Drosophila melanogaster: one gene and its partners. The protein of the gene in region 1 purifies or fractionates together with the protein of each later gene. This does not show direct contact. Each region holds a gene or a part of one and is shown on either strand. Other genes may lie near its edges.

The links.
Region 2: the proteins of EMC4 (region 1) and EMC1 purify together in Drosophila melanogaster (affinity purification with mass spectrometry, with the first as the bait; one large-scale study listed by BioGRID). This does not show direct contact.
Region 3: the proteins of EMC4 (region 1) and EMC2B purify together in Drosophila melanogaster (affinity purification with mass spectrometry, with the first as the bait; one large-scale study listed by BioGRID). This does not show direct contact.

The regions. Positions count from the first base shown.
Region 1 is NT_037436.4:22,865,581-22,870,651, reverse strand, and holds EMC4 (ER membrane protein complex subunit 4), read left to right. Parts: upstream 1-2,408; 5' UTR 2,409-2,499; coding exon 2,500-2,555; intron 2,556-2,615; coding exon 2,616-2,745; intron 2,746-2,797; coding exon 2,798-3,112; 3' UTR 3,113-3,188; coding exon of another isoform or gene 3,189-3,252; 3' UTR 3,253-3,477; downstream 3,478-5,071. Other genes in the region: Arf1 (ADP ribosylation factor 1), read left to right, coding at 663-810, 878-987, 1,181-1,306, 1,406-1,570; CG33170 (uncharacterized protein), read right to left, coding at 4,688-4,774, 4,828-4,881, 4,956-5,071.
Region 2 is NT_033777.3:7,900,604-7,909,019, forward strand, and holds EMC1 (ER membrane protein complex subunit 1), read right to left. Parts: upstream 6,761-8,416; 5' UTR 6,620-6,760; coding exon 6,525-6,619; intron 6,458-6,524; coding exon 5,815-6,457; intron 5,725-5,814; coding exon 5,578-5,724; intron 5,495-5,577; coding exon 5,182-5,494; intron 5,109-5,181; coding exon 5,088-5,108; intron 4,783-5,087; coding exon 4,448-4,782; intron 4,394-4,447; coding exon 4,199-4,393; intron 4,139-4,198; coding exon 4,061-4,138; intron 4,003-4,060; coding exon 3,801-4,002; intron 3,742-3,800; coding exon 3,589-3,741; intron 3,522-3,588; coding exon 3,351-3,521; intron 3,287-3,350; coding exon 3,053-3,286; intron 2,991-3,052; coding exon 2,830-2,990; 3' UTR 2,427-2,829; downstream 1-2,426. Other genes in the region: mRpS9 (mitochondrial ribosomal protein S9), read right to left, coding at 781-1,141, 1,207-1,292, 1,404-1,577, 1,636-1,851, 1,934-2,029; wtrw (water witch), read left to right, coding at 1-151; Taf7 (TBP-associated factor 7), read left to right, coding at 7,022-7,216, 7,281-8,416.
Region 3 is NT_033777.3:16,988,636-16,994,238, forward strand, and holds EMC2B (ER membrane protein complex subunit 2B), read right to left. Parts: upstream 3,244-5,603; 5' UTR 3,133-3,243; coding exon 3,099-3,132; intron 2,958-3,098; coding exon 2,549-2,957; intron 2,423-2,548; coding exon 2,266-2,422; intron 2,204-2,265; coding exon 1,955-2,203; 3' UTR 1,699-1,954; downstream 1-1,698. Other genes in the region: MESK4 (misexpression suppressor of KSR 4), read left to right, coding at 290-333, 388-819, 884-1,250; CG31274 (uncharacterized protein), read left to right, coding at 4,502-4,545, 4,600-5,031, 5,096-5,462.

The DNA of each region.
Region 1 (5,071 bases):
CAAGTTACCTGGCCTTATCATTCACGCACTTCTCAGCCCGCACGTTTCTTGCGTACTCTGTGTAAAGTGGGTGGAGGACGTTGGAAGGGAGGCGCTGAGCGCCGACAGCCGTCATGGTTCTATACTAAAAATCGATATCTTATCAGCAGCCGCTAGCGGGGCAAACACTAAAAGCAAGCGACTCGTGTTTCATACATCCTCCATTTCGCGTTGTATTTAAGTGTGGAATTAATTACATAAACAAATTTTCTGTTTTTCTCATGCTGACGCATTGAAGACGTCCTTATTACAATAAACAAAAACGAATTTCGTTTCTTTTTCCGGTTTTTCCGCTCTTCCGGTTTTTGTATGACTCAGAGTGGGTAAGCGCCATTCAACACGTAAGCGCGATCATAAGTGAAACAAACACCAGAGGAGCTTCGGCGCATCCGTCCTTTGTGATAGCTCTTCCTACCACGAAAAATTCTCGCCTACAACTGTCTATTTTTGGACTCTTCACAGATTCTCCCACTCCATGCACACAAGTGTGCAGTTTGCATATTCTGATCGGTATAGCAACTCGGATTTGAACTTGTCATAATTCCAGCCAGCAGACAGCGAGCAGGCCAACCAGAGATCCAACTTCCTACGACTACCGAGCATCCGAAAGACAAACAGCAGCCATGGGAAACGTATTCGCGAACTTATTCAAAGGCCTATTCGGCAAAAAGGAAATGAGGATATTGATGGTCGGTTTGGATGCCGCTGGTAAAACCACAATTCTGTACAAACTCAAATTAGGCGAAATTGTTACAACGATACCTACCATTGGTAAGTATCTTATTAGCACCTTTAATGTATCTTGTCCAAATCTAATATCTAATGGTTGTCCCCCTAGGTTTCAATGTGGAGACTGTAGAATACAAGAATATTAGCTTTACAGTGTGGGATGTGGGTGGCCAAGACAAAATTCGTCCCCTGTGGAGGCACTACTTCCAGAATACACAAGTAAGTGTGATTTCAGCTTTTCCACAGATTCCAGAAAATTCTATATGATGTTAACAGCTTGTAATGATTATGCATTGTGATTATTCAAGTTTATTTTGTTTCAAGACGGGACTGACTATATTATCTTAGAGATCTATCTCCTACGATTCAAGCCAGGACAATTGGAATAAAGTTTTCATTTGAATCGTTACAGGGTCTTATCTTCGTCGTGGACAGCAATGACCGAGAGCGTATCGGTGAGGCGAGAGAGGAGTTGATGCGCATGCTGGCAGAGGACGAGCTGAGGGATGCAGTCTTACTAATCTTCGCAAACAAACAGGTAGGTCCAAGCAAAGGTTGTCGTTATCAGTAGCCAGTTGCTCGGTCCTTATATTGTCATACTAATATTGCACCTCGCTCTTTTCTGGGATCATTTTAGGATCTGCCAAATGCAATGAACGCGGCCGAAATCACCGACAAGCTCGGCTTGCACTCACTCAGAAACCGCAACTGGTACATCCAGGCGACGTGTGCAACTAGCGGTGATGGGCTGTACGAGGGACTCGACTGGCTGTCCAACCAATTGAAGAACGCTAATCGCTAATTAAACACTAAAATTAAAGCAACAATATGAATACAACTAACTCTGATTTCAAGCGAGCCGAAGCAGTTAACCAGCAACCAGAACCATAGAAAGAGCGGCTGAAGGACATCCAACATCCAGCGGTAAACGGTGGAAATCGACATCAGAAGGAATTTTCACAAAACAGCAGCAGCGGCACCAACACCAACAACAAGAGCAGCAGATCTTCGCATAACTTAAAGGGCTCCGCATGTCCGTATTTCCAAACAAGAAACTGAAATTGTTTATTGAATTGCAAAAACATAACCTTTCAAGCAGCATATAAAGAACGCTATAATATAATTTAAATTCGTATACATAATTATTGGATGTTTAAAAGCAAATCGAGTAAAAGAAAAGCCCAACCAATCACACAAGAAAGGAAACTATAGTATATGGTATAAAAATGTCTTTTTTAAGTTATTTTTGTCCTCTCCCTACCCCTCATCAAAATATATATTTCTTTTTAATTTTATAATATTAAAGTAATATTAATGAGAAAAAACTGTAATTGTAATTGCTCTTTAAAAATACAACAAATACCATTTTAATTTTTAACCCTTCTGTTTCTTGTTGTCGCTTGGTCACGCAAAATCCATTAAAAATCACGCATATATATAAGACCATATTAAAAAGGAAAGTACTACTTAAAAGGTAATTTGAAATAAAATTTAAATATTAATGAAAACTACTGCGCTGTTCGATTTTTGCACATGCGTTTCAAAAAGTCCGCGCAAAATCGTAACTGCCTATCGATACCCTGGTGCCATACACATCAGTTGCCTATCGAATTGTCTACACTACAATAATTTCGGAATTTAACGTTGAACAACACTCAGCGACCAATTGTCAGAAAAAATCGTCATTTTGTTTTATAAATTGGCAAAAGATTAAATAAAAGAAAGCACAGCATGTCCGCCAAGCAAAACCCAAAAAAGTTAAAGTGGGCGCTGGACTTTAACGGGAGGTAAGGATTGCTAGCCTGCGCGGTGACTCAAGTTCTTACCACTTTTGCTTTTTCCTGCAGCAAAAATGCTGATATTCCTTCGCCGCTGGGCTACAATCCATCTGCTTTGGTGAACCAGAGTGAAGTGGTGCGCGACCAGCGCCTGGTCATCAAGAAGTCGTGGGACCTTGCCCTGGGACCTCTTAAGAACGTGAGTAGCAGCCCTTTGGAAAGACCCGTGCTTAACCTTTGGATTCCCTCAGATTCCCATGAATCTATTCATCATGTACATGTCAGGAAACTCGATTTCCATTTTTCCCATCATGATGGTCGGCATGATGCTGATCCGGCCTATCAAGGCCATCTTCACCACCCAGGTGACTTCCAAAATGGCGGAGGGGGCCCAGGGAACTGGCCAGCGCATCGTCTACTTCCTGGGCAACCTAGCAAACGTGGCTTTGGCCCTCTACAAGTGCCAGAGCATGGGGCTCCTCCCCACCCACGCCTCCGATTGGTTGGCATTTGTCCAGCCTCAGACACGCCTGGAATATTACGGCGGAGGAATTTCGTTTGTCTAGTTTTACACATATAGATTCTCTTTATTTGATCATAGATAAATTGGTTTAAACTAAAATTGTGGTCTTATTCCGCCAGTCAGTCGTCTAGTATCTTCTTGGCCTCCTTTTTGATGTCATCCACTAGTTTCTCGCCGGGCGATCTGTTAAAGAAAATAGTAAAATAATTAAGATACAGAATGATAATATGATCTTATTTAGCATTGATTTCGTCATGGTTGCACCTGGCAACAAATTTTTATTCGGAAAAGCCATCATTCACCACAGTAGAAAGATATCATCACGACTTCGCACGCATTTTTTCAGCACTTTGTCCTATTTTCAGAATTTGTAAAACAAGCGCGTGGAAAGCTTAATATAAGATATCGAAAAAAAATCCAGGTTTAGTTGACAAGTTCGACTTATAAAATTTTTACAATTTTAATTACAAAGGCATTTGACAGAGTGTGGCTCGATGGACTTTTGTTTAAAATAATCAAGCTGTTGCCCCAAAACACACATAAGCTACTGAAGTCATACCTATATAACAGAGTGTTTGCAATAAGATGCGATACAAGCACTTCACGCGATTGCGCAATCGAAGCTGGAGTGCCGCAAGGCAGTGTACTGGGTCCAATCTTATACACCCTGTATACGGCGGATTTCCCCATAGACTACAATCTAACAACCTCCACGTTCGCTGATGATACCGCGATACTCAGTCGCTCGAAATGCCCAATAAAAGCCACGGCACTCCTATCCCGACACTTAACATCTGTAGAACGATGGCTTGCCGACTGGAGAATTTCAATAAATGTTCAAAAATGCAAGCAGGTTACCTTTACCTTAAACAAACAAACATGCCCACCACTGGTCTTGAATAACATATGCATTCCACAAGCCGACGAGGTAACATATCTGGGAGTTCATCTGGACAGGCGGCTCACTTGGCGCAAACATATAGAAGCCAAATCGAAACATCTTAAACTTAAAGCAAGGAACCTCCACTGGCTCATAAATGCTCGCTCTCCACTTAGTCTGGAGTTCAAAGCTCTTCTATACAACTCCGTCTTAAAACCTATCTGGACTTATGGCTCCGAGCTGTGGGGCAACGCATCCAGAAGTAACATAGACATTATTCAGCGAGCACAGTCAAGAATTCTGAGAATTATCACTGGAGCGCCGTGGTACCTTCGAAACGAAAACATACACAGAGACCTAAAAATCAAATTAGTAATCGAAGTAATAGCTGAGAAAAAAACGAAGTATAACGAAAAGCTGACCACCCATACAAATCCCCTCGCAAGAAAACTAATCCGAGTATGCAGTCAAAGCCGGCTGCACCGCAACGACCTCCCAGCCCAGCAATAAACTTATTAGGGCATTAATGAAAAAAAAAAAAACTATCACTAAGTGAAAGTTAATTAAGTTAGATTAAGATTTGAACACTTATTGTTAGTCTCTTAACACAAAGGGAAGATTCAATAAATAATAAAAAAAATTATAAAAAAAAAAAAAAAAAAAATTACAAAGGTCGCTCTATGACTTTTTTGAATTTAGTGAAGGTAACGTTATCCTTGTACGAAACTACCAAGGCTGTTACTTGTTCTTGGTTTGATCCATTAGTTCTTTGAGTTTCTCGTTGAAACGCTGCATCAACTTCTGGGGATCATCCACTCGGGGGACCTAAAAAAGCCACTGTATTAGGAGCAAGAACAAATGTGGGTTAGGTGGCTTACCTCATAGTTCTGTGAGACATAGATTCCCGTATACACCCCGGCGCCAAAAGTTAACTGGAATGGAGAAAGGAGGATTATTAGAGTGGGTTGTGAAAATCTTCCTGAAGATGTCTATTTCGCATGCTGACCGTCGAGAAACATATTACTCGCTTGAAAGTCCAAAAGCGTTTTTTGGGACAGCACGGCAATGGCTGGCGAACTTCCGGTGGGCAAGTTTTCGCAGAGCGACTCTGCCCGCCAGTTT
Region 2 (8,416 bases), on another chromosome or scaffold:
CGATGACAATGCTGATCGGATCGAGTTCCTCACCCAGGAGATCCAGGAGCTAAAGCAGGCGCTCATCTCGCAGCAACAGCAAGCCAGCAAGGTGATCGACAAGCTGCTGATTGTGATCTCCAATCAGCAGAAACAGAATCTGCGCAAGTAGCAGGAGCATTTACTGCACCCCATTCGGAATATTTATAGATCACAGTTTGACCTTTTTTAGACGTAAGGGGGTCGTGTAGGCCCCAAAGAATCCAGAACATTGTTGATATTATCGTAGCAGCGAGTTGTAGTTAAACCAATTTTGATATCGATGCGCCAGGCGCAATATGCATACGCTATATAGCCATATATCCTACATACACTACACTATTGATACAAATACTATAACTAGCGTTTAGTTGAACTAGAGGCGAGCAGTTGGCAGGATTGATTTGTGGCTGGTTCCAGGCTGTGTCTTTGTTGTTTTGGCGTTGTCGTCAGAGAATCGTTTATATAGTAATTTAATGCAAATTATTACTCTTAATAAAGTATATGCTATATATCTATTGTTATGAAAAGAGACGTTCTTATTTGCAGCTGTCGGCCAAATTGAGCGATGTCAAGGTAACTGATATAAACTGATATAAATTTTATAATATATCATTTCAATTGAATAAAGTCTCAAGAATAAACTTTTCGTAATATTAATTCAATAGGATTTTCAATTGCTCTTAACTGCAGTTGTGAATTCATATTTCAACAAGGAACCTATCCTCAGCAGAAGCTTAAGCTGTACATGACTTCACTCACCTGTTCTCTGCAGTTTTCGTCCTCAAAGTATGAGATATCCTTTCCATTAATGCTGATTTTTCCTGTTCCGGGTAGCCGCACTGTGACATCGGCTCTAGCAGTTTTGCGCAGGCACTCGTAGGTGGTGATGTACTGGCGACCCTCTTCATCGATCCTTGGTTTGGGCACCTCCAGCTGCTTGGACTGGTCCATCAGCGGTTTCATGTATCGCTCGATGAATGCTTTGCTCTTGTAAGCATATGGCGATGCGATCAGGCGATCCATGGAGTTGGTAAAGTTGGAGTATTCGATATCGGCAATGCTCTCAACTAGCAAAAGTTCCAACTGGTCCTTGGGCAGCAGCTGAAAGCCGGCAATCTCACTAAAATAAAATATATAAAACAAGGTCAAAGTACTTAATTTTCAAAAAATGCATAGCTTGTTTACAGTTTTTGGTTCTCATCGGGTTTATTGCCGCGCCGTAGCATGCGCTCCTCCAGATCCGCCAGCTTGTTAGTTTCTTCTACAATGTCCTGGTAATTAAAAAGGAAAAGTAGTTAATACCTTTCTACCAAACCACTTAAAATTAATTCATCATTCTTCTTTCTTAAGTAATGAAGTTCCCAAGTTGCGCAATTACTCACATGAAGCAGTTGGAAGAAGTTGGGTTTGCCGGTGTAGAACATGCTGTGGAATGGTCTGCCCGTCTCATCGAATTCCGCAGCCTTGCGGGCGGGGAAGACAACCTCGGGTGACTTCATAGCCGGCCGGGCCTTTTGGTCGTACAATCCGGAAGGGAACAGATAGGATATCGCCTCCTGTAATTGATAATGAGGTAAAATAGCCCCTTAAAATTTTCATAGCCAAATATCTCACGTCTATGTCCTCCTGGGTAAACGTCTCCGCATCGGCGCCCATCATGTTGGCCAGGTGCCGCTTTCCGATCTGGAACTCCAGGTGCTGGGTCTTCATGAACTCGTCGTGTTCGGTGGCTCTTTTCAGGTACGCCCGCATGGCCTTGCTCACCCTTTGCTTCTGGACAGCCGCCGGAGCAGCCTGGACGGTCACATCGGTGGCAAATGGAGCCGCTGCCTGAAAGGTTATGCAAACGTTTGGTCTCACAATTGGGAACAGTGAAAAGTGTCAAGTCTATTGACTTGACTATTGTACCAACCATGTAGCATGGCATCGGTGCCCTGGATTTGCATGCATTTTGCAGCAGATTCCTGTTATTTTTTACTATATTTAAGCCAAAAACACGCAGTGCCATCCTTTCAATTTTGCGGAAGAAGAAGAGAATAAACATATGTTTCAGTCGGTTAAAGTTGGATGGTCGGTGTTGGAAAACACACAAGCTTTCAGCTGATTTTTGGCGCCCATTTAAAAATTTTTTTATTTGTATTTTTAATTTATTAAGCTATAAAACCACAACTTTCTTACAATGTTATAAGACGGTGAAAATTACTTCATTTTTGAGATAAGTATTATAATAATAATTCCTTTTATACTTTACAGGAAATTCTAAAAAAAATTGTCCTAAATAAATCAGGTAATAGACGCTATGAATTTTTGATTTAATTGTATTTTTATTATTTATATTTTTTGTTTTAATTATCAAAAATTTTTTGAATCCACCTCCTAATTAATCCCAACAATCAGTTAATTCTGATGAAAAAATTGTTTATTTACTTTACCGTTGTCCACCTTTACAAATGCTTTTATTGACTATACTTTTTAAACACTCTTTCAATGCTGATATTTTCAAATGGAAATTTAAACGAACACAAATCAAAGGAACAGAACATGCAATGAAAACCTTTCAACAGCTAATTATAGTTATTTGATGTTTAACGCTATATAATTAGTTATAAATAATTGCCTAGGCTTAGCGTTGATAAAAGGTTTTATTCGCATTGTGGGATGTAATGCAGCTATCAGAATTCTGTTATATATATCAATAGTATCTCGCCGATTTACATTCTCTCATCATCATTCCATCCTCCCTTGTGGTATTTGGTCGCAGTACAATTTATATATATTTAAAGCAATTATTTAATAATAATGCCAAGCCTATTTCCACGCCTGCTTGAGCAATTTACGCGACGCTAAATGCTTAACAATCAACGAGCCTGATGTGAGCGCGACTAGCACTATGGAAATGAGAATATAATCAAAGTCCTCCTTCAGCAAGTCGAACGTCTTTGATGGCGCCACGCGCGTAACGAACAAATCTGTCAAATAAAAATGGTTTACAGTGCTTTAACCAAAATCGCGTTTGATAAATCTCCCTTACCTAAGCCCGTAGCAACGACTAGACAGGTACTCTCCAAGCCACTGGGCGCGGTGTAAATATTACGCAGACGGGCAACCGTCTGGTTGTAATTTATGTGGCTCTCTGTTGGCAAAGGCAGCTCGGGTATGTAGGGGATGGCTCCTTCTTCACGTCCCTGAGTCGTGGATGCGATAGGACGTCGGGGATCCAGCAAATGCCACGGCATTTCCACAATGGAACCACTGGCAGTGCCGACTAGAATTAATGACAAATGGTTAGCATCCTATTTGGCGTTCAAATTACTTTCGTTAATGCTCACTAAGCACATGCTTGTTGGTGATTCCGCGCTCCGTGATAGTTTCCCGCAGAGCCTCAACTATTGTGGGCAGTATATAAGACTGGCGCTCCACGAGGGGCATTGGCGGAGCTTGCAAGGAACTCCAAACACTGCTGTTTGCCTGACTCTTGCCCTCGTACAGTTCGATTGTGGCTGTAGCAAGTAAATAAAGTTTAGTAAATATAGGTACTTGTCAATGGCTATCGCTGTTGTAACTTACTAATCTCTGTGCGACGCAATTTCTCGTTGAAGTAGGAGTAGGCAAGCCAGTTTTCGGAGTGGACAATGCTCAGTGGTGCACGGACCTTACGATGCGTCATGGTGAAAACCACAGAGCCGGAGACCACATCAACCAGATACAAATTTAGCACGGCTATGGAGTAAGTGCCATTTAAATGAATGCTTAATTACACGAAGCGCATGCAGACTCACATTTGTGTGTGGAATCCGGTGCCTGTGTGACGAAAGCCACTAGATTAGGGTTGATGTACTTGTACAGCACCGATCGATCGCCCAGCACACGTCCCTGGGAGTGGACATGCTCGATGGGATTCTTGCCGGCAACGCCGATAATCTGCTGCTCGGAATTGTGGCCGCCCAGGCGAGCATTCCAGATGTGCGTGCTGGACAGTTGCTAACGGAAATGGTTTAATAAGTTAAGTGCTTTCATATTAAAAGGCTGCATTACTTACCCCGCCCGCATATTTAACAAAGTAGCCGGCCAGCTCTGCAGTTTTCAAATCGGCGGTGTACAGATACATGCCATCAGCCTGTACGTGCATGTAAAGATTTTCAACTCTATTGATATATCATAGAATTTTATATCTTACCAGTGGGGCCGCATGTTCGGGATAAACATGTACCTTATTCGAAGCATCCAGTAACAGAATGCCCTTCAGAAAGTCCTTTTCCGTTTCTCCCAGCAACGAAAGCTGCTTAATTCTGTAGTCCAGCTGAACAAGGCCACCTTCGGCTACTTTGCCGGTAATAGGATTAAAACGATAGAGCACACCATTGCCGCTGACCTATAAACGATTAGAATTAGCGTGGGAACTATGCGATTTGTCAGTCAGACCTACAGCATTCTTGCCCAAAATAGTGCACAACGGCTGAAGTGGAAAGTGTTTGGCCGAGCGCTGGACAATCAGACGCATCTGTTCGTCGTTAGCGAATCCAATAACATTGGGAAGATGCAGCTGCCAGTGATGTTTCCCAGAGACATTGTCAATGCCAAAAATCTTTCCAGCACGCGTCAGTAAAACCAGCATCTTGTGGAGGCCAAAGGAGTCTCTGACCAAGCCGGCTCGCTGGGTGTCTGTAGGTGGAGGACCCAGTCCGATAACATGAAGGAACAAGCTCCGAATCTGAACAGCTTGAGTGGTGATGCGACGCAAAAAGGCACTGGCAATGTCTCCTGTTTACGTGGTGAAAACATAAATATTAGTAAAGAACAATTTAATATGATCTTTAAACATTAACGATATACCAAAGATATTTCATATTTTAGTTTACATTGGAAATTAATTATTGGACAGTAAAAAAGTAAAAGTAATACACTTAGCTTTAAACTAGCGAAGCATGCTTGAATTTGTTAGTAAACATTCGTTTTTAGATTAGTGGTACGTTCAATAAACATTAAAAAAAAAAACACAAAATTAAAAGTGATAAACATGTAACAAACAATATTGCATGATTAGTTTGCTGTGAACGTTCACTTACTCTCAAAACTTGTGAAATCCCCTTTTGGTATGAATTTTCAATAATAAATTTTATGAGTTCACCTTAAAGTAGTGCATAAGTCAAGTACACTCACCGGCCTTGCCCTTCATCTCGTTCTCCAATGTGCCCTCAGTATCGGCAAGCGGTAGATCCACAAACTGCGAGTCGATCACATTTGCCAGCGACTCCTCGCGCGACCAACGAACGCGTCCATGCTGCACTGCCACGATGGACTCCGAGGTGCTGCTAAACAAAAACAGACAGTTCTTGCCCTCGCCATTGCGCTTCTGCTTACAGTCGAAGTTGCTCAGCGACGGAGTGCCAAAATGCTCGGGGAATGGCAGACTCTGCTCCAACTCCGCTGCCGGTGCACAGTTATCCAAATACAGAGCATTGATCCTGAGGATCTGTTCATACGCACAGGGAAAGAAACAATTAGTTTTCACATAGAAATAGTAGAATAGAACAGTAAATATAAGTTTAAACGTACTCCAGAGGACAGATCTGCATAGGCCAAGACTTTGCGATAGTTAAAGCTGCCCACGGCGAAGCTGGAGCTTCGCAGATCACCGCAGATCGATTGGTCCTTGTTGACACTAATTGGCTTCCCATCCACAATCACAACACCATTCAGACCCTATAGAAATGTTTGGACGAATTATAACTTCACTTACAACAATCTATTACTTCACTTTCAATAAAAGCAATAGCAAAGTTTTTTCCTCACCGTCAAGGCCTGAGTTTTTCCCTTCGGCTCCGCCTCGAGCGAAGTACGGATTACTTGACCGCTTTTGGAAACGAGATCCAAACTAATCAACTGCTTTCCGTCCGTACAAACGTAGAAGGTGCCGCTAAGGGTGCAGCTCTCTGAGGTGATCCAAGGAGCTATTACCTTGCTGGTGCTGCCAGTGCTGTGGCCCGAGCTGGCGAAATACGCCGTCACCTCGAGGTGGCTCCGCCAGGCAGGCAGCACGTGATATAGCACGGATTTGCTGTAGATCCACATGGCGTCCTGGGCCCGCTCCGTGTTCATGGGCATGATGGACCACTCCCACTCAAGGGCACCCATATTGGTGTTCCAGCCGCGCACCAAAGCAGGAGCGTGTCCCTGAACGGTGAGCATGTCGAAGCCCATGTTGCTGCCCATCGGAGCGGCGGCCGTGTCGCTGCTGTCATCGGCGAATCCGCTCACCTGGAGCAGCTTGACGTCGCCGCGCGGCTTCTGCTCGAGCACCTGCCGCCACACCAATTCGCCGGTCTTTACGCACAGACTGGCCACCACTCCCTCATAGGTGGTGACCAGAATCCGCGGCTGAAAATGGTTGAGGTCGACGCGAGACTGCTTCAGTGCTCCCACATTGACGCCTCGCCTGCAAAAGCCGCACATATCCGCCGTATTAGCGCCGGGTCAATGGTCAGATATCGTACCACACTCACCAGTCGAACTTTTTGATCTGGTCTTCGTAGAGCGCCGAGCAGGTGCCCAATAGGAGCGCCAGCGAAAGTGCGGGCAGTAACCACTTCTCCTGCATGTCGTCCGCCTTGCTTGCTGACCTTCGACTAGCTCGATCTCTGATTGTTCAACTTTTGACGTATTTTTATGTTATAAATTAGTAGAAATCCACATCAATTCGTGTTTTCCGTCATGGCAAAAGGGATGAGAAGACGAAATTGGAGCAGGGTTGGCTGACGATTGCCTTATCGATAGTTCAGCGGACTCACATCCGATATTCAAAGCAGTGCGGCTCATCCCCTTTCAACGTACGGCAAACCCATTCGGTCTTCACCTTTATGATTAAATTTGTTGGTAAAAAGATTAAAAAATAAAATGCCTTGCCATTTTGCGGTATACAGGGCTTATATTTCTGCAGATGCGGCTGCAGTGTGAACCATTTTAAATATTCGTCGTGCTCGCAGCGATAACTGTGACGTGAATGCCATCACTAGCGGTGCCCCATCTAACTCCCATCTCTAATGAGCATTTAGTGTCTTCAAAAGAAGTTGTATTTTTCTGGAAAAATCGCATTGAAATGTTTGAAAAGAAGAGCGACAAGGTTAAGCAAGCGGAGCACAAGGCCCGGGATGATGGCGTAGAGCTGGAGAGCCAGTTTATCATGCGCGTGCCGAAGGTAAGCCATACATAGCACAAACAAACATCACAACAAGCCGTGCAAATTGACGGATTCTCCGCAGGAACTGGCGGACACGGTCCATGAGGCAATAAATGCTGGCACCATTAAGGACCGGCTGACCATCCAACTGGATCCGGATCTGAGGTACGGTGAAGTGCGAATAGATGATCAGATACTGTACACGAAACTCGTGGATTTGCCCACCGTCGTCGAGAGCTACAAGACCATTGACAACAAGAGCTTCTACAAGTCGGCAGACATCTGCCAAATACTCATTTGCAAGGAGGAGCGGGAGGACGAGACGGAAAAGGAGTCGCCCAACAAGAACAAAAAGAAGGACCCCAACAAGGTGGACAAAAAATACCTCTTTCCGCACGGCATCACACCGCCGTGCAAGAATGTGAGAAAACGACGATTCCGCAAAACTCTGAAGAAAAAGAATGTCGAAGCTCCCGAGATTGAGAAGGAAGTGAAACATCTGCTGCGCATTGACAACGAGGCTGTCAGAGTTGACTATGAAATCATAAACGAAGAGGACAAGCCAATGGATGAACTGGAGCAATCGGACATCAAACCCTACAACGATGCGGATGACGATTTGCAGGACGAAAGCACCATGCATGCCAGCGAAAAGACGATCATGGAAATGAGCTCCCAGCGGCACCTCCAAGTGGAGTCCGATGATGACGAAGCCAGCAACTTTCCCTCACACCGGGCGCCGAACATGGGAGTTGCTGTCCACGACATCTTCGGCGAGGAAGTGTCCAGCACGGATGACGAGGATGAGCCCGATCGGGGCAATAACACCATGCAGCGGCGGGTGATGGAGGAATCCTCACGACTCTCGGCTGATGATTCACGAATGTCGGACTTCTTTGGCGCTAGTGGCAGTAATACTGGAGCGGGCGTAGTGAAAATGGAGCAGAACGTGTTCAGCAAGTCTATGTTTGGGCATGAAGCCAGCAGTCCTAAGCTCAGCGCCGCCGGATCAAGCTCCAACCTTGCTGCTCCCAGTGGCTTCTACGATAGCCAAATGCTAGCCAAGCGCGAGGAGTTCGAGAACATGGAATTCATAGACGAACCGCAGCCGCAGTACACGCAGCAACAGGTCCAGCAGAAGATCAATCAACTGACGCGCCAGATTCGTGAACTGAAAGCGCAGCAGGTGCAAAAGTCAACGGAAATTGCTTCCATTCA
Region 3 (5,603 bases), on another chromosome or scaffold:
CTACATGTTTACATTTCCAACAGAGCTTTTTTCGAGTGTACTTTGAGTGCGTTGGGTGATTGTGACCACCGAGATGACAATTGTTTCAATACACTCACAGATATGGGTATGTGTTTGCTTGGGGAGCGGAAGATCCAGATAATCTGCGCGGAGCGAGAGTCAAGTGTCATTTTTCCCTCAGTCTACCACAGACGTTGGACCAAAATAAATACCATCCGACGGAGTCCCGATCCCGATTGGAAAACACCAAGAATAGGAGCTGCTGCCAGTTATGTAGATCTACGCCGTTATGTCTGGAACATCGACCTCTGAACGCTCCAACTCCGAAGACAGGTAGTAGATAGGCATTCAAAAATCCATGTAATGACCAAAATACCCCGCTTCCAGCCCGTTGAATCCCTGCCTAACGGAGGTCCTCAGGAATTGTGCCAACATTCAGTCGCTGGAGAGCTTGAACTACGAATATAACGACGTTTTGCTGACCGAAGACAACGTGGGGAAGATGATTACGCCGAATCCGTATTCCTTTAGTGGCAACATTTCCATCAGCAGTTGTCCAAGTGAAGATGTATCATTTTCGGAAAGCATCCTAGAGGACAACGGACGCATTTCGCTGGCCTATGAGAACCTGAAGACAATTCCGCGGCGACTGGCCGACAAATTCGCAGCGCAGACCAAGTTTCTCGATTTGAGTCACAATGATTTCCGAAACTTGAGATTTCTCTCCTTTTTCGAGGATCTGGACACTTTAATCCTGGACCGCAACGTAAACCTGGACATAAACACTTTTCCTTATTTGCCGAGCTTAAGGATCTTGTGGTGATTACCCTGAATCTTGCATACATGGGTCCACGCAATAACACATATTCTATTCGTCTTGCAGGATCAACAATTGCGATATAGCAAATATAACCGATTGGATACACCGCATCGAACGGCACTGTCCTGCGCTGGATCAGCTCTCTTGCATGGGGAATCCTGGCATCCGCACAGTTTTCGGGGGCCAAGGACCCCGCGAGTATATACTACAGGTGCTTCCCCAGCTAAAATATCTCGATGGACTTCCAACCAGCAGGAATGCAGCTTATGCGACGCTGTCTTCCTCACAAGGACAGGGTCCGGACTCCACGAGCAATTCGGAAAAGCCTCCACTCGCATCCGCATTCACTTTCAAGGACATCATCCGTCCAAAGTATTCCAGAAAATCGCACAGCGGACGGATGTTTGGCAACGGCTCCTCCACAAACTGAAGTAATATGCCGAAGGAGGGAGGGGTATTCCACTGATTGCATTCTGTCCCATTGTTGGACTATTTTTAACCGTCCGCTGGATTATCAGCGCTGCCCTCGCTGCCCTGCAGTCGTCGATTGCACCTACAGTGCTATGCAAGTAAATATGCATATGGTTATTGCCATGTACGTATATAAATTTGCAATTGTATGACGATGGACACGCACAAACCTAGTGAGAATTAATCTAGTGCATTAAAGCAATTTTTACAATAATAAGAGTCAATGACCTCAGCGAATAGTCAAGTATACAATAGGCACCATCTTCAGAATAAATGTTCTTCGACTTATTCTGAATGTCGTTCAGTGCCCGATTAATTTTACGGATGTAAGCACATGGGCACGAGTTAATATTGCTTAAAACTTGAGGCCAAAGATTAAAATTATGATTCAAAGTAACCAGTTCATTGCGTTTAATCTAAATTTATTACAGGACTATTTTTGCCTACCTCAATAATAAATGTTTTTCAATGCCGTCAACAATACTAGACCACCAAAAACAGTTGCTTGGATGCACTGACTATAAAATTGTTTTTACTCCTATTTCTTTAATTGTTTATCTATGTAACTTGCTTAAAGAACAGAAACTGGAAACCCACATCTGAAAATATTTGGAACCATTACATTCTGGCATCTATTGCACAAATTTGTAGTGCTTATGTTGGTCAATTCGATTTGATTTCCAGGTTTCCAAAAGCAGCCTCCAAGGGTACAATCGTTTGTTTAGTCAAAAGTTGTTCGAGGGCCCACTGACTCAACTTTTGCAGCTCCTTCCGTTTGGAGCTCACGGCTCGAGAGTTGTCCAAATGGTTGCAGCACAAGTAAATGCCATAAAGGGCCCTCAAGTTATGCGGATTAAGCTTCAGGGCCTGCGAATAGTAAGTGCGAGCCGATTCCATATTCTCGACGCCACCCTGAAAGAAAATTAATTCATAAGATGGACTTCATTACTGGTTAGTGGGCTTATATAGCTCACCATTGTGTATCGTATTTCTGCCAAACGCTGGTGTATTAGATGGCTATGCGGATTGTGCAGCAAAACCTCCTCCATGCAGAAGGCAGCTTTGCCAAACTCGCCTTCAGCCAGATACATGTTGCACAGCTCATGCCATGCCTCCTGGTCAGACATAAACCTGAAGGAATATTAAATAGTTATGAGATTATCGTACATGGTAAGATAAGTAGTTGTCTAGCAACCGGATGCCGGAAACTAATTTGGTTCCGTTCTTCCAAAAACACCATGAACTTAGCTTTCTTACTTCTTCAGATACTCGTTGAGCTCCTTGATGGCCTCCAGGCGACGACCACGGGCCTTAAGGATGGCAATCTTGCGCTTCCTGGGCGCGGCATTTGTCTCGTCCTTAGCAATGATTGCATCCAGGACCTCGTCGGCCTCATCGTACTGCTCCAGGGCCTCGTAGCGCATCGCTTTGAACTTCATCACGCGCAGGCTGCCCGGGAACTCGAGGGCCAGCTGCTTGGTACACTTGGTGGCGATGTCAAAGCGAGCCGTATCCAATGCCGCGATGATCACCTGCTCCAGGATGAGATGCCGCTCGTTGCCGGTCTTGTGCACCTTGTCCTCCAGCACAGCAACCCACAGCTGGACCACCTCCTCGCTGTGGCGACCCGTCTCCTCGCGCCATGTTCTGAACTGATCGCGTACATCTGGAAGGATGATCATACGATTATGATACCGCACTTTTCATTCATGGCCCCGTTTTTTGGGTCCACGGAAACCGGGCGATTGGGAGCAACCCACTGACGTGGTCTGCACCTGTTTGAAGCCGGGAAAAGCCAAAAACTCACCCGACCAGCTCATCTTCTCATAATCTAGCGACATATTCACTTAGGCGCACTTAAATATCTCATTAATTTAACTTAATTTTCCAATTGTAATCTTTAACTGCCGATTTCCTTTCCTGGCAAAATAAAAGTGTGGCAGCATAATGGGCCGTTAGATTATACCAAATAACAGTGGCGTGGCGCTGCCAACCTACTTTTTGAATATCGTAAGACTCTACTCTACAGTTACACAGTATGCAGGATTTGTTGACTAGTTTGTAAAAGAAAGCGTTTCCGATCCAATGATGTATATATATCCTTTCCTCTCATCTGCATACATAAGTAAACGAGAAGGTGATATAACTATAATAACTAGGTCATTAATGAATACGGTAAAAAGGAGCGAACCTAGGTGTTTCCCTTGTGGTATGCCAGATATGGGTACAAGATGGGTACAAGTAATAACATTTTTGCAGAGTACCCTTTGCGTTCTGCCATTCAAATATCTTAAAGTCCAATTCAAAAGATCAACCGGAAAACATTATAAATTTAGATTCCTATTGGATAATTAAGGAAGTCATATGGCTTACTTATGTTAGTATATATGTATAGTCACATAATCAACATATTTTCACGTTTCCCTTCCGTTTCTGAGTGCACTCGGCATACGACACAATCGATCAACTTAGCTCTATATGAACAAACAAGTAAATAAATGTGATTTATATTACAAGGAGCTCTTATTAATTATTTGCAGCGCATTAACATGGTCCAATTGTTCCCAGCCACGTAAGGTAATACAAAGTTCCTGAGTTTGATAAAAGAGATAAGAAAGAACACCTTAAACCCTCTTACCAAACGTACTCCTAACTGGATAAGTAGTTCGGTAAACCAATAACTAAATAGTATACCAAGCGTTCAGCAAAACTAACACACCATCTCCGTAGATAATTCCGTGGAAGAGTATCAGCATCAACAAAGGAAAAACAATAGAGATTTCTTCCTCATACCTTACTTTGTTGTTCTCGACTTGTGCATTTACACTTACTAATCTGAACGAGTAATTTTACAGAGAAAAAAAAACGTTTATTTATAAACTTATCTCAAAATAAGGAGGAATTGTGGCAGAAAAGATTCACTACATGTTTACATTTCCAACAGAGCTTTTTTCGAGTGTACTTTGAGTGCGTTGGGTGATTGTGACCACCGAGATGACAATTGTTTCAATACACTCACAGATATGGGTATGTGTTTGCTTGGGGAGCGGAAGATCCAGATAATCTGCGCGGAGCGAGAGTCAAGTGTCATTTTTCCCTCAGTCTACCACAGACGTTGGACCAAAATAAATACCATCCGACGGAGTCCCGATCCCGATTGGAAAACACCAAGAATAGGAGCTGCTGCCAGTTATGTAGATCTACGCCGTTATGTCTGGAACATCGACCTCTGAACGCTCCAACTCCGAAGACAGGTAGTAGATAGGCATTCAAAAATCCATGTAATGACCAAAATATCCCGCTTCCAGCCCGTTGAATCCCTGCCTAACGGAGGTCCTCAGGAATTGTGCCAACATTCAGTCGCTGGAGAGCTTGAACTACGAATATAACGACGTTTTGCTGACCGAAGACAACGTGGGGAAGATGATTACGCCGAATCCGTATTCCTTTAGTGGCAACATTTCCATCAGCAGTTGTCCAAGTGAAGATGTATCATTTTCGGAAAGCATCCTAGAGGACAACGGACGCATTTCGCTGGCCTATGAGAACCTGAAGACAATTCCGCGGCGACTGGCCGACAAATTCGCAGCGCAGACCAAGTTTCTCGATTTGAGTCACAATGATTTCCGAAACTTGAGATTTCTCTCCTTTTTCGAGGATCTGGACACTTTAATCCTGGACCGCAACGTAAACCTGGACATAAACACTTTTCCTTATTTGCCGAGCTTAAGGATCTTGTGGTGATTACCCTGAATCTTGCATACATGGGTCCACGCAATAACACATATTCTATTCGTCTTGCAGGATCAACAATTGCGATATAGCAAATATAACCGATTGGATACACCGCATCGAACGGCACTGTCCTGCGCTGGATCAGCTCTCTTGCATGGGGAATCCTGGCATCCGCACAGTTTTCGGGGGCCAAGGACCCCGCGAGTATATACTACAGGTGCTTCCCCAGCTAAAATATCTCGATGGACTTCCAACCAGCAGGAATGCAGCTTATGCGACGCTGTCTTCCTCACAAGGACAGGGTCCGGACTCCACGAGCAATTCGGAAAAGCCTCCACTCGCATCCGCATTCACTTTCAAGGACATCATCCGTCCAAAGTATTCCAGAAAATCGCACAGCGGACGGATGTTTGGCAACGGCTCCTCCACAAACTGAAGTAATATGCCGAAGGAGGGAGGGGTATTCCACTGATTGCATTCTGTCCCATTGTTGGACTATTTTTAACCGTCCGCTGGATTATCAGCGCTGCCCTCGCTGCCCTGCAGTCGTCGATTGCACCTACAGTGCTATGCAAGT